3 linked regions of the Cricetulus griseus genome follow. The protein of the gene in region 1 binds, or shares a complex with, the protein of each later gene. Links are inferred from orthologs where the notes say so. Each region holds a gene or a part of one and is shown in the gene's direction. Other genes may lie near its edges. The genes, in order: obscurin-like protein 1, coiled-coil domain-containing protein 8-like and Myom1.

Region 1 (2,966 bases):
TAGACAGGTTGGCATGCACAGAGGACACCGCCACCTTCCAGGGCCGTGGCCTCCAGAGTCTTGCTGGGCTCAGTCTAACCGACTACAAATCCCCGCCCTAATTAGGATGGGCAGGCACTCTCTCCGAGCCCGCGGCTCCGACTCCAGGCTCTCGGAGCGCGCCGCCTTCTGCTGCTGCGGCGCTGCAATTCCTCGGACGCTGGGACCTACAGCTGCGTTGTGGGAACGGCCCGCTCCGGGCCTGCGCGCCTGACAGTGCGCGGTGGGTACCCAGGGGTGCCCGGGCTGGGTACTACTTTAGGCGCTTAGACTGCGGAAGAGTGTTTCCCCGACAGTTTACTCACTTCTAGTAAGGGGGCGTGGTGGGGGTGTGTCCTGGCTGTGTGCCCCGCCCCCGCCTCACGCCCACGGCTCCGCCCCAGAGCGCGAGGTGTCTGTGCTCCGTGAGCTCCGGTCCGTTAGCGCCCGAGAAGGAGATAGCGCCACGTTCGAGTGCACTGTGTCAGAGACCGAGACCACCGGACGCTGGGAGCTCGGAGGCCGCGTCCTGAGACCCGGAGGCCGCGTCCGCATCCGACAGGAAGGTCTGGTCGCTTTCCTACCCTCTGTGACCCCTTGTTACCTTGCCCAGGGTGCAGGCAGACTCCGCCCCTTTAGGATTAGCCCCGCCTCTAGCCCGAGCAGCTCCGCCCCACGGCCCCACTGCCAGGGTCTCCCGGACTTTCCTCCGCCGTGTCCAGTCTAGCTCCTTTTCGCTTCCTATCTGCAATTGCGCGCACCGACTCTTCGGAGCCCCCCTGGGACCTGCTCGGGTCGTTCTCGAATCCTCCCGGGAAGCGGCTGAGGCCTCGCTACCTTCCCCTCCCCCCCCCCAGGGAAGAAACACATTCTGGTGCTGAGCGAGCTGCGAGCCGAGGACACCGGTGAAGTCTGCTTCCAGGCGGGACCCGCCCAGTCTTTGGCTCGACTGGAGGTGGAGGGTAAGCTTCTGAGGCGAAGGCGACAGGGAAGGGCATCATCACCGGTCCTGGGACTGACTGACTGGCCGCTGGTCCTAGAGATGCTGCTTCCTTCATCTCTCCTCTTCGAGGGGGCTCTCTTGGGGCAGGTCACAGAGGGCAGCTCATTTCCTCAAGAGGAGATGGAGAGGAAGAGACTTTGAGCCATGCATGCAGGGAAACCGACTATGGCACGGAGGGCTTGTGCCAGGAGTGGATGGAGGTCGTAGGCAGAGAAGATGCACCTGTCCCCTAGGGGCCGTGCGTGTCCTTATTAAGCTCCTGTCCCCCCAACCGCAGCGTTGCCTCTCCAGATGTGCCGCCGCCCACCTCGCGAGAAGACGGTTCTGGCTGGCCGCAGGGCGGTGTTGGAGGTGACTGTGTCCCGCCCTGGAGGCCACGTGTGTTGGTTGCGGGAGGGGATCGAATTGTGTCCGGGAAGCAAGTATGAGATGCGCAGCCACGGCCCCACCCACAGCCTGGTCATCCATGATGTCCGACCTGAGGACCAGGGCACCTACAGCTGCCAGGCGGGCCAGGACAGTGCCGACACACAGCTGCTAGTAGAGGGTGAGTAAAGCCCACTGGGCAGAGTCACCCGAACAGGAGGCTAACCAGGCAGGGGTGCCACCCTATGGGGGAAAGACCCTTGGCAGTAGGTTCTGGTGCATGTGGGGAACGGGGGAGGGACCGGAGAGATTACACCCAAGGCTGAAGAAGAGAGGGAGCCCCGAGTCTCAAGAGAACTTTCTCTGACCTTCCTAGGACCCTTCCTGCTAGGGCTTCTTACTTCCTCTGCTTCTGGTTCATGCTTGTCTCCCCAGAAGACCCCATTGCTACCAGTATCTGTAGCAATGTGCCTCACTACCCACCAGTACCGGCTGGTACCTGACCTCCACCCCCTCCTGCCCGTTGTCCTGCAGGCTTCTGCTCTCTTAAGTGGGTTCAACAGCAGCCTGGGCAGCAACTTCCTTTCTTTCCTCTTTCACATAGGAGGTGCCCACTCTACCCCAAATCTTTGCATATCTTTCACATTTTTCTGTGTGCTCCACCCTTCCTGCCCCCACTTCTTTGGCCCCATAGACACCCTGACAGAGGCTCTGAGAGGGTAGGACCCTGCTCTTTCCCTCGTGGGTATCTAGGCTCTGCCAGGGGGAAGAAATGGGTTTTACCCTAGTCTCCCTGCCACCAGTCTACATGCAGCCACCCCTCTACAGGTGATTAGAGGACTGACCCAGACCAAGCGGGTACCCTCGGACAGTTTGGAAGGAGATGTACCCTTATACTGGGCATGATGGAAAGGAAGGAGCCAGAGAGAATCAGGAAACAATAATAAAAAAAAAAAGCTACCATTCATGCCCACGCCTGTCTGTACACCAGGGAGGGCAGGCCGTGCTTGGAGCCCCTGTAGTCAGTGACATAGCTCTGAGGTTGCAGTGCTACCAACTTGGTTGATGGAAGTACCGGTCGGTTACTGAAGACATCTGGCAGAGGCCAAATAGTTTGGCACATTTATAAAAGATGTTAAATAGGGTGGGAGGGGATAGAAGCACGAGGTGTCCAGGGTGGCATGGCAGACTCCAGACATGCACCGTGCATTTAAGCCCTTCTCCCTCCCCCCTCCTCCCAAACCCAACCCAGAACAACACTCCCCACTCCATCCCCTGTCACTGCCCTTCAGGCTGGTGGCTTTGCAGAGGCCAGGGGACCAGAGTGAAGGGTGCTGCCATTAGCTCCATGGACAATGACAGGAACCCTTAGATGGCTGCAAGTCAGAGCAATAGGGGAAGCAGGCAGGCCTCCTCCATACAGACATGCAGGAGAGTGGCCCATGGGACCCCAGCAGTGGGACAGGAGGCAGGCTGGCCCTGAAGAAGCCCTGCCCATCAGAAATCTAAGGCAAGAGTCCCAGTGTCCCCTCAAAGCCTACCCCTTCACACACGCATATATGGGCAACACGCAACCCTG
Region 2 (3,746 bases), on another chromosome or scaffold:
GAGTCACCTCTCCAGCCCCTGGGGTTGTTATTTGAGACAGGGTCTCTTGTAGCCCAGGCTGGCTTTGAACTCTCTTTGTAACTGAGAATGACCTTAGTCTCTTCATCCTCCAAGTACTGGGATCACAAGTGTGCACTCCATGTCTGGTAGATGTTTTTATATTGGTATTAAATTAATTGTTATATGTTGATATTAACCCTTTTAAAAAGGATGTATTTATTTTTATGTTCATTGCTGTTTTGCCTGCATGTATTCCTGTGCAAGGGTGTTGGGTCCCTGGGAACTGGGGTTACAGACAGTTGTGAGCTGCCACATGGGTGCTGGGAATTGAACCCGCATCCTCTGGAAGAGTGGTCAGCATTCTTAACCACTGAGCCATCTCTCCAACCCCTAAAGTCACTTCTTTACTTAATTTTTGTTGTTGTTGAAAACATTGTCTTTCATCCTGGCATGGTAGCCCATGCACGCCCAGAAGACCAGTAGTCAGAGTATGAGGCAGGAGGATCACTGTAAGTTTGAGGTCACGTGGGATACATAGTAAATTAAGAACTAAGGTACCACAATATCTCTTTGATCTTAAAAGATTTTTTAAAGAAAATATTGTATTTTAAAATTTTATCATTGTGTATATATTTGCATATGTTTAATCTATGCGTGTGGAGATTGGACAACCTTCTTTTTTTAAAAAAAAAAAGATTCATTTATTTATTATGAATACAACATTCTGCTTCCATGTCTATCTGCACACCAGAAGAGGGTACCATTATCTCATAATGGATGGTTGTGAGCCACCATATGGTTGCTGGGAATTGAACTCAGGACCTCTGGAAGAGCAGCCAGTGCTCTTAACCTCTGAGCTATCTCTCCAGCCCTGGGACAACGATTTGTGGAGTTGGTTTTATGTGGGTTCTGGGGATTGAATTCAGGTCATCAGGCTTGCATGGCAAATGTTTTTACCCACTGAGTTATCTTGTGGGTCCCTTTTTTATGTGCATGAATGTCTTGCCTGCGGCTATGTATGTGCATTAGTGCCCACAGAGATCAGAAGGGGGTGTTGGATCCCCTGGGCCTGGAGTAACAGAGGATTAGGAGCCATCACGTGGGTCCTGGGACTCAACGCAAGGCCTCTGCAAGAGCAGCCCAGGCTCTTAACCATTGAGCCATCTCTCTGGTCCCATCCCGGTAAGTCCACTGGCCTTAGCCTTGCACGTCGAGTATGGCAGGTTGGAGACCCGCTGCCTTTCGGGGGCGGGGGTTGGGGGGGAGGAGGACATGATGACGTGGGTTTTGGAAGCTGAGATGGGAAGCCGTGGCCCCAGCGAGGCCCTAGGGGGCGGCCACACCTCTGTGGGGAGGAGAGGGAGGTTGCCCTGAAGGGAGTGGACAGCTCCGCTGCCAGTCTTCCCAGGCTGAGAGTGTAAGATGAGAAGAAGGTGGGCCTCACCCAGGAGGGGAGGGCGCCCAGAAACTTCCTGCCACTCTCAGCTCCACCGCAGACAGACAGCAAGCAAGGTCAGCCTGGAGCGGGTGGCTGCCTTCCTGGGGGCGGGAGACCCTCCTCGGTGCTGGGCGGAGGCCTTGAAGCTCCTCGCCATATTGAACGGCCACCACGCTGAGCCGCCTTTGTTTGCAGAGTCCTCCCACAAACTTTCAGCTGCACCCCGGGGTGTCGGGGCCAAGGGAGAAGCGATCAGAGATCAGAGCCCGTGCGTTCCCAGCTTGGAGCGGGGACGCTGGCGATTCCAGTTTGGACCGAGCTTTGAGCCTCGGGACTGACCTCACCTCTCTCTTCCCGTAAGCACCCTGGAAAATTGCTCGCTACAACTCCGAGGGGTGAGAGAAACCCAACTTGGACTCATCGCCTGCGGAGCAAACTGCGGGGAGGTGACACTCTGCGTGAGCAGAGAGTTGCTGGAACCCTCTCTGCCCTCTCCCCAAGACTAGAAGCAAGTTTTTTGTTTGTTTGTTTGGGCTTCTTGCCCCCCCGCCCCAGAGTCCACTCTGGAGATCTTAAAGACTCTCGAGAAAAGCCACGTGGGGGGATGGTTCCCCTGGGGCTTCCTCCCCTCCCCCGATTGCCTGATCCTCTGGAGTGTCCCTGATGTCTGCAAAGATGTCGATCTGGACGTGTTGGTGGAGGCCTTAAGGCCCGTGGGCACCTTTAAGAAGATCGGGAAGGTGTTCCGCAAAGAGGAGGACTCCACGGTGGGAATGTTGCAGATTGGGGAGGATGTTGACTATCTGCTCATCCCCCGGGAGGTCCGGCTGGCTGGGGGCGTGTGGAGGGTCATCTCCAAGCCCGCCACCAAGGAAGCTGTGTTTCGCGAGCGGCTGATGCAGTTTCTGCAGGAGGAGGGCCGCACCCTGGAAGACGTGGCCCGAATCATCGAAAAGAGTACTCCACACCCACCCCAGCCCCGCAAGAGAGCCAAGGAGCCCCGAGTGAGGGCAATCCCCCAGATGGTCACTCCTCCACTCCGGCTGATTGTAGGCACCTATGACAGCAGCAACGCCAGCGACAGCGAGTTGAGTGACTTGGAGACCTCCAAAGTCAAAGGCAACAGGGGCTCCCAGAGGACCAGAAAGGTGCGCAAAATGCCGGTCAGTTACTTGGGCAGCAAATTCCTGGGCAGCGACGTGGAGAGCGAGGATGATCAGGAGCTGGTGGAGGCCTTCCTCCGCCGGGGAGAGAAGAAGCCCGGCCTGCCTCCTCCACGACGCCGAGTCAATCTGCCAGTGCCCATGTTTGAGAACAACCTGGGTCCCAGGCCATCCAAGGCGGACAGATGGCGGGAGTATGTCAGTCAGGTGTCCTGGGGGAAGCTGAAACAGAGGGTAAAGGGCTGGGCACCCAGGTCAGGCTCCGAGGTGGGCGAGGCCCAGCAGGCCTCCATGGCAGCTGAGAGGGCTGGAGGACTGAGACACAGCCTCACCAGGGGGGACGATGGCTCCAGAAACTCGGAGGATGGGAGCGACCAGACACAGGGTACCAGCTGCTGGAATCCCAAATTCAAGTGGGTCTCCTTGAGGCGGTCCAGGAAGGAGCAGGCGGCGCCACTCCCAGCTCAGGGCACAGGCATGCCAGCCCAGGGGCCCCCAGAGGCTGCAGAGATCCAGGGGGCAGAGGCTCCAGCTAATCCGAGGGCAGGGGCTGCAGCTAATCCGAGGGCAGGGGCTGCAGCTAATCCGAGGGCAGGGGCTGCAGCCAATCGGAGGGCAGGGGCTGCAGCCAATCGGAGGGCAGGGGCTGCAGCCAATTCGAGGGCAGAGGCTGCAGCTAATCCGAGGGCAGGGGCTGCAGCCAATCGGAGGGCAGGGGCTGCAGCCAATCGGAGGGCAGGGGCTGCAGCCAATCCGAGGGCAGAGGCTGCAGCTAATCCGAGGGCAGGGGCTGCAGCCAATCGGAGGGCAGGGGCTGCAGCCAATCGGAGGGCAGAGGCTGCAGCTAATCCAAGGGCAGAGGCTGCAGCTGATCCGAGGGCAGGGGCTGCAGCCAATCGGAGGGTAGGAGCTCCAGCTAATCCGAGGGCAGGGGCTGCAGCTAATCCGAGGGCAGAGGCTATAGCTAATCCGAGGGCAGAGGCTGCAGCTAATCCGAGGGCAGAGGCTGCAGCTAATCCGAGGGCAGAGGCTGCAGCTAATCCGAGGGCAGAGGCTATAGCTAATCCGAGGGCAGAGGCTGCAGCTAATCCGAGGGCAGAGGCTATAGCTAATCCGAGGGCAGAGGCTGCAGCTAATCCGAGGGC
Region 3 (3,746 bases), about 31 Mb from region 1:
GCTGCGGTGCAGTCTGCAAACCCCTCCCGTCTGGCGCGTTGACGTTAGCAACCAAACACAGCTCCGGAGTCAGCTCCGCGGGGGCTCCGGTTTCGCGGCCCGGCAGTCGCCCAGGCGCCAGCCAGCGAGCTAAGCAACATTTTCCAAGCTCCGAGTCTGGCACACAGAGCAAAGCCGGCTGCCCCGGCTGGCGAGCCCACAGCCAGCCGCCCGCTGGGGCTCGCACACCTGCCCAGGTGCGCTCCCCATTCCGCTCCGGCCGCGCGGCTCCGGCGGCGCTCCCCGCGGGGACACCCTCTCGGGCCGGGCCGGGCCGGGCCACGCACGCCCCGCGGCCAGCCCCACTCACCCTGCTCAGCCGCGGGAACCGAGGCCGTCACTGCGAAGCTCCACCGGCCGCTCGCAACCGACCTCAGCCCCTATATCTATCCAGAAGCCCCGAGGACAGCCACTTCCGGTCTCCGCCAGCAAACCGGAAGGAAGCCTAGCCGCCATTGTCCACCGCCTCCGTGGGCCAGCGCCGACCACGGGGGGCGGGGAGACGGGGAGGAGACGGCAGGGAAGATGCCCGAGCGGCCGGCGGGCGCAGGGCGCCGAGGCGGGAGAACAGAGCGGGGAGCTCGGGACGCAAAGGATCCTCGTGCAGAGGGTCTCTCGCCGTCATCGCCGACCCCGCGCCTCTTTCGGGGTTGCGGCTGCGCTCCCCCTCCTCCCCGCGGATGGTTGCGTCCATCCCGGGCTTTTCCTGAGCCCGCCCGCCCGCATTCCAGAGCCCCCGGGCAGAGGCGGGGACCCCGGGTCCCAGTCCATGTAGGGAAGTGGCGGCGAGAGGGGCGGGGCTGCGGGCCTCACGTGACCGCCTCGGCCCCGCCCCCGGCCGCGGGAATGCGCCCGTGCGGAAGTTTGTGTGTGTGACTCAGGAGTCTAGGTCAGCTGCCCCCTCAGGGCCCGGGCGGCGCGCCGGGAGGGCGGGCGGGCGTGTGCGAGCGCTGTGAGAGGCGGCCACGGCGTGTCCTTATATGGAGAGCCTGGCTCTCCCGACGTGGGAGGAAACTCCCTTTGGTCCAGGTAGAGTTCATGGATGCAAACAGCCTGAAAGTAGCCATCGCTCCCTCTTCTCCCTGAAAGTAGCCAATGCTCCCTCCTCTTCTCCCTGAAAGTAGCCATTATTGCTCCCTCTTCCCAAAAAACATTCCCTGGAACTTCCTCCTCCCAGAGCCCCCTCTGACCCTGGTGGTGACTCCTGCTCCACACGTCCATCGCTCCAGGGCGACTTGGTGAAATAGGGCTAAAGTGCTGCTGGACCTTGCGTTGAGTCAGCCGCCAGCAGTAATTCTTCTTAAAAGCGAAGGGAAAGCTCGACAGATTCGTTTCGCCCCTGCCGGGAATCCTGCCAAGGCCGGGGTGTCTGTTGTTGGTGGTCACTCTCGGGTCCAGAAACAAATGACGACCCTGGCGGGAACAGAGCGGTTCTAGAGTTCCATATCCATCCTCAAGGCTCCGGCGCTTGACAGACCAGATGTTTTGTTTTGTTTTTTTCTCCTCTTTTTAAAATTTAAGTTAGAAACCATCTTGTTTTACATGTCAATCCCAGTTCCCTCTCCCTCCCCAACCAGATGTTTTCTTCAAGGAACTCTCCTAACCCTAACCCTGATGTAGTTTAAAGTTAACTCAGAGGTAAAGTCACTGAAGAAAAAAAAAAATAAATTGCCCTAATCCTATAGGTGACAAAATTTCCCTCCTTTTTTGATACTATGAAGCACTTGCAGTGCTAACTAAAAATACAATTAACTGGGTAATTCATCTCCAGCTCTCTGAATCAAGGTCTTCAAGAGCAGGTTCTGGAAAGTCAAGGACTTAGGAGTCCAACATGAGTTTTTGGGAAGGTCTGGGACACAGCTGGTGGCAGGCCGAGACAGTACAAACTCAGAGAGCTGAGGAGTCAGACAACAGTGGATCTTTGCAGCACACTAACACCTCCATGGAGTAATGGCCTGTCACACTGGGAGGCGCAGACATTCTGGGCTGGCTGTCCTGCAGGGGAAAATCAAAACCCCTTTAGATGCAGCCCAGTTTCCCCTTCAACTGGAAAACAGTGGAGTTGTTGCTTCTCTAGGAATTCTCATTGTGTCCTCAAATTGTTAGACCCCCAAAAACTCAAGTATCTGGGGTCCCAGGCCACGTTCGCGGTCACCCCAATCACCAGGCGGATTCGAGAGCTTGCTACAAACTGCACGAGGCTTTATTGTAATTTAACAAGCTAACCCCATGTTAGCTCGGGTCTTTCAACCACCTGCCATGGCGGATGGCTAGAAAAGACAGTTTGAAGCTGCTGCGCACAGATCTTTATAAGGCAGCGTAAGGGGAGTGTCTAGGGATACGCACAGGCTCATGATTGGTGTGCTTCCAGGCTTGGAGGGCTTGCCCTGTGTTGATTGGTCAACTGGTTGTTATGGCCCATAGGCCCTCCCAGGGCGGTTGCTATGCTCTCTACGTCATTGCTGTGTGCTAGTCCTTAAAGCACACCCAGGGTCGTAAAGCATAGCGCCACCAGCTAACTTTCGATTGGTTCCTTGTCACGAGACAGGCATCTGACTTTCTAGTGACTAACTTCTGATGGATTCCTTGTCACGAGACAGGCATCTGACCTCTAAGTGACCAAGGCAGGTTTATGGCAAGCACGTGTTCGACTGTTATGGCTGCGGAAAGGGAAGCTGGTCCCTTCAAAATCAGCCAATAGCTATTAAACTTGTGAACACTGTGATAGGGGCTATGGTTTGCTCATTTTAAAAATGAACAGTTGGGACCTCTGGGGTTGGGTTGTGCTATGGAACAGAAAGGGTGGAGAATTACAGCGACAAATATGAAACAGTGTAGCATGAATTCTCTTTGGTCTTAATAAATAAAAACTTGGAGTCAGTTATTGGGGGGTGAAAGCTGAAGGATCAGAGAAGCAGAGCATCCATTAGAGTTCTTACCTCTACCAATGCTCAAACCAAAGGGAGCTATCCTGTCCTCAGACTGCCTCCTCAGACTGCTTCCCTGCCTTATATCTCCACCTCCTTAGTGCTGGGATTAAAGGTGTGCAGCACCACTTGGCTCTCTGTCTCTTTCAGACTGGATCAATTTCATGTAGCCCAGGGTGGCCTTGAACTCTCAACGATCCCTCTGCCTCTGTCTCCCTAGTGCTGGCCTCTATGGCTAACTAGTATGGCTAGCTCTGCACTCAGATCTTCAGGCAAGCTTTATTTGTTAGATCACAAACAAAATATCACCACAGAACAGGTTATAGAAGGACAAATAAACCCTCCTAGGGACTAGTGGAAGATGTCCCCAGAGGGCAATTCTAGGGTGCTGATTCTAGGGGTTAGTGGAGGAAAGGAGAGAGGCATGTCAGGTCTGGGGGCCGGGGTAGACAAAGAACCTGGCTGATTGGAAGTTGGGTTCTGTTCACCTTTTATCCATGTCTGCAGAACTATGGATATACCAAGTCAATGTGGAGAAATCAGCTTAAGTCTTACTACTCTATCTACTGTTCTGACATGAAAGTTTAGTGATCAGACCCTCTACCAAAGGCCTCTGACTCTGTGTGATGTTCCTGTTCTTTTGGAACTTAGAAGAGGTCTTCCAAATACAGCCGGTGAGAACCTTCTCACTACCAGTTTGACAATCTGCGTTCTGCTTCATATCTTTCCTTTAGCATAACTCTGAGAACAAGTCCCTTGATTGACCTCAATTTTCTAATA

Evidence for each region.
Region 2: obscurin-like protein 1 (region 1) and coiled-coil domain-containing protein 8-like share a complex: the UniProt entries of both Homo sapiens proteins name them as parts of the 3M complex. The link is inferred for Cricetulus griseus from reciprocal best matches to the Homo sapiens genes OBSL1 and CCDC8.
Region 3: the proteins of obscurin-like protein 1 (region 1) and Myom1 are in contact, whole or in part, in a crystal structure (PDB 5FM5), measured with the Homo sapiens proteins. The link is inferred for Cricetulus griseus from reciprocal best matches to the Homo sapiens genes OBSL1 and MYOM1. Residues at the interface, in NP_056126.1 of Homo sapiens: Pro243, Lys253, Phe255, Val257, Asn258, Gly260, Lys261, His262, Ala263, Lys264, Phe265, Arg266, Cys267, Tyr268, Val269, Met270, Gly271, Lys272, Pro273, Pro275, Trp279, Lys305, Tyr308, Tyr317, Cys319, Ala321, Arg322, Asn323, Ser324, Ala325; in NP_003794.3 of Homo sapiens: Arg616, Pro617, Ser618, Ala619, Pro620, Trp621, Thr622, Gly623, Gln624, Ile625, Ile626, Val627, Thr628, Glu629, Glu630, Glu631, Pro632.

What each region holds. Positions count from the first base shown.
Region 1 is NC_048595.1:428,628,771-428,631,736, reverse strand, and holds the end of obscurin-like protein 1, read left to right. Parts: intron 1-105; coding exon 106-262; intron 263-422; coding exon 423-584; intron 585-875; coding exon 876-980; intron 981-1,298; coding exon 1,299-1,568; coding exon of another isoform or gene 1,569-1,576; intron 1,577-2,215; coding exon 2,216-2,223; 3' UTR 2,224-2,354; downstream 2,355-2,966. UniProt on the Homo sapiens protein: Core component of the 3M complex, a complex required to regulate microtubule dynamics and genome integrity. It is unclear how the 3M complex regulates microtubules, it could act by controlling the level of a microtubule stabilizer.
Region 2 is NC_048602.1:11,621,481-11,625,226, forward strand, and holds the start of coiled-coil domain-containing protein 8-like, read left to right. Parts: upstream 1-1,417; 5' UTR 1,418-2,211; coding exon 2,212-3,746. UniProt on the Homo sapiens protein: Core component of the 3M complex, a complex required to regulate microtubule dynamics and genome integrity. It is unclear how the 3M complex regulates microtubules, it could act by controlling the level of a microtubule stabilizer.
Region 3 is NC_048595.1:459,501,353-459,505,098, forward strand, and holds the start of Myom1 (myomesin-1), read left to right. Parts: upstream 1-970; 5' UTR 971-1,068; intron 1,069-3,746. UniProt on the Homo sapiens protein: Major component of the vertebrate myofibrillar M band. Binds myosin, titin, and light meromyosin. This binding is dose dependent.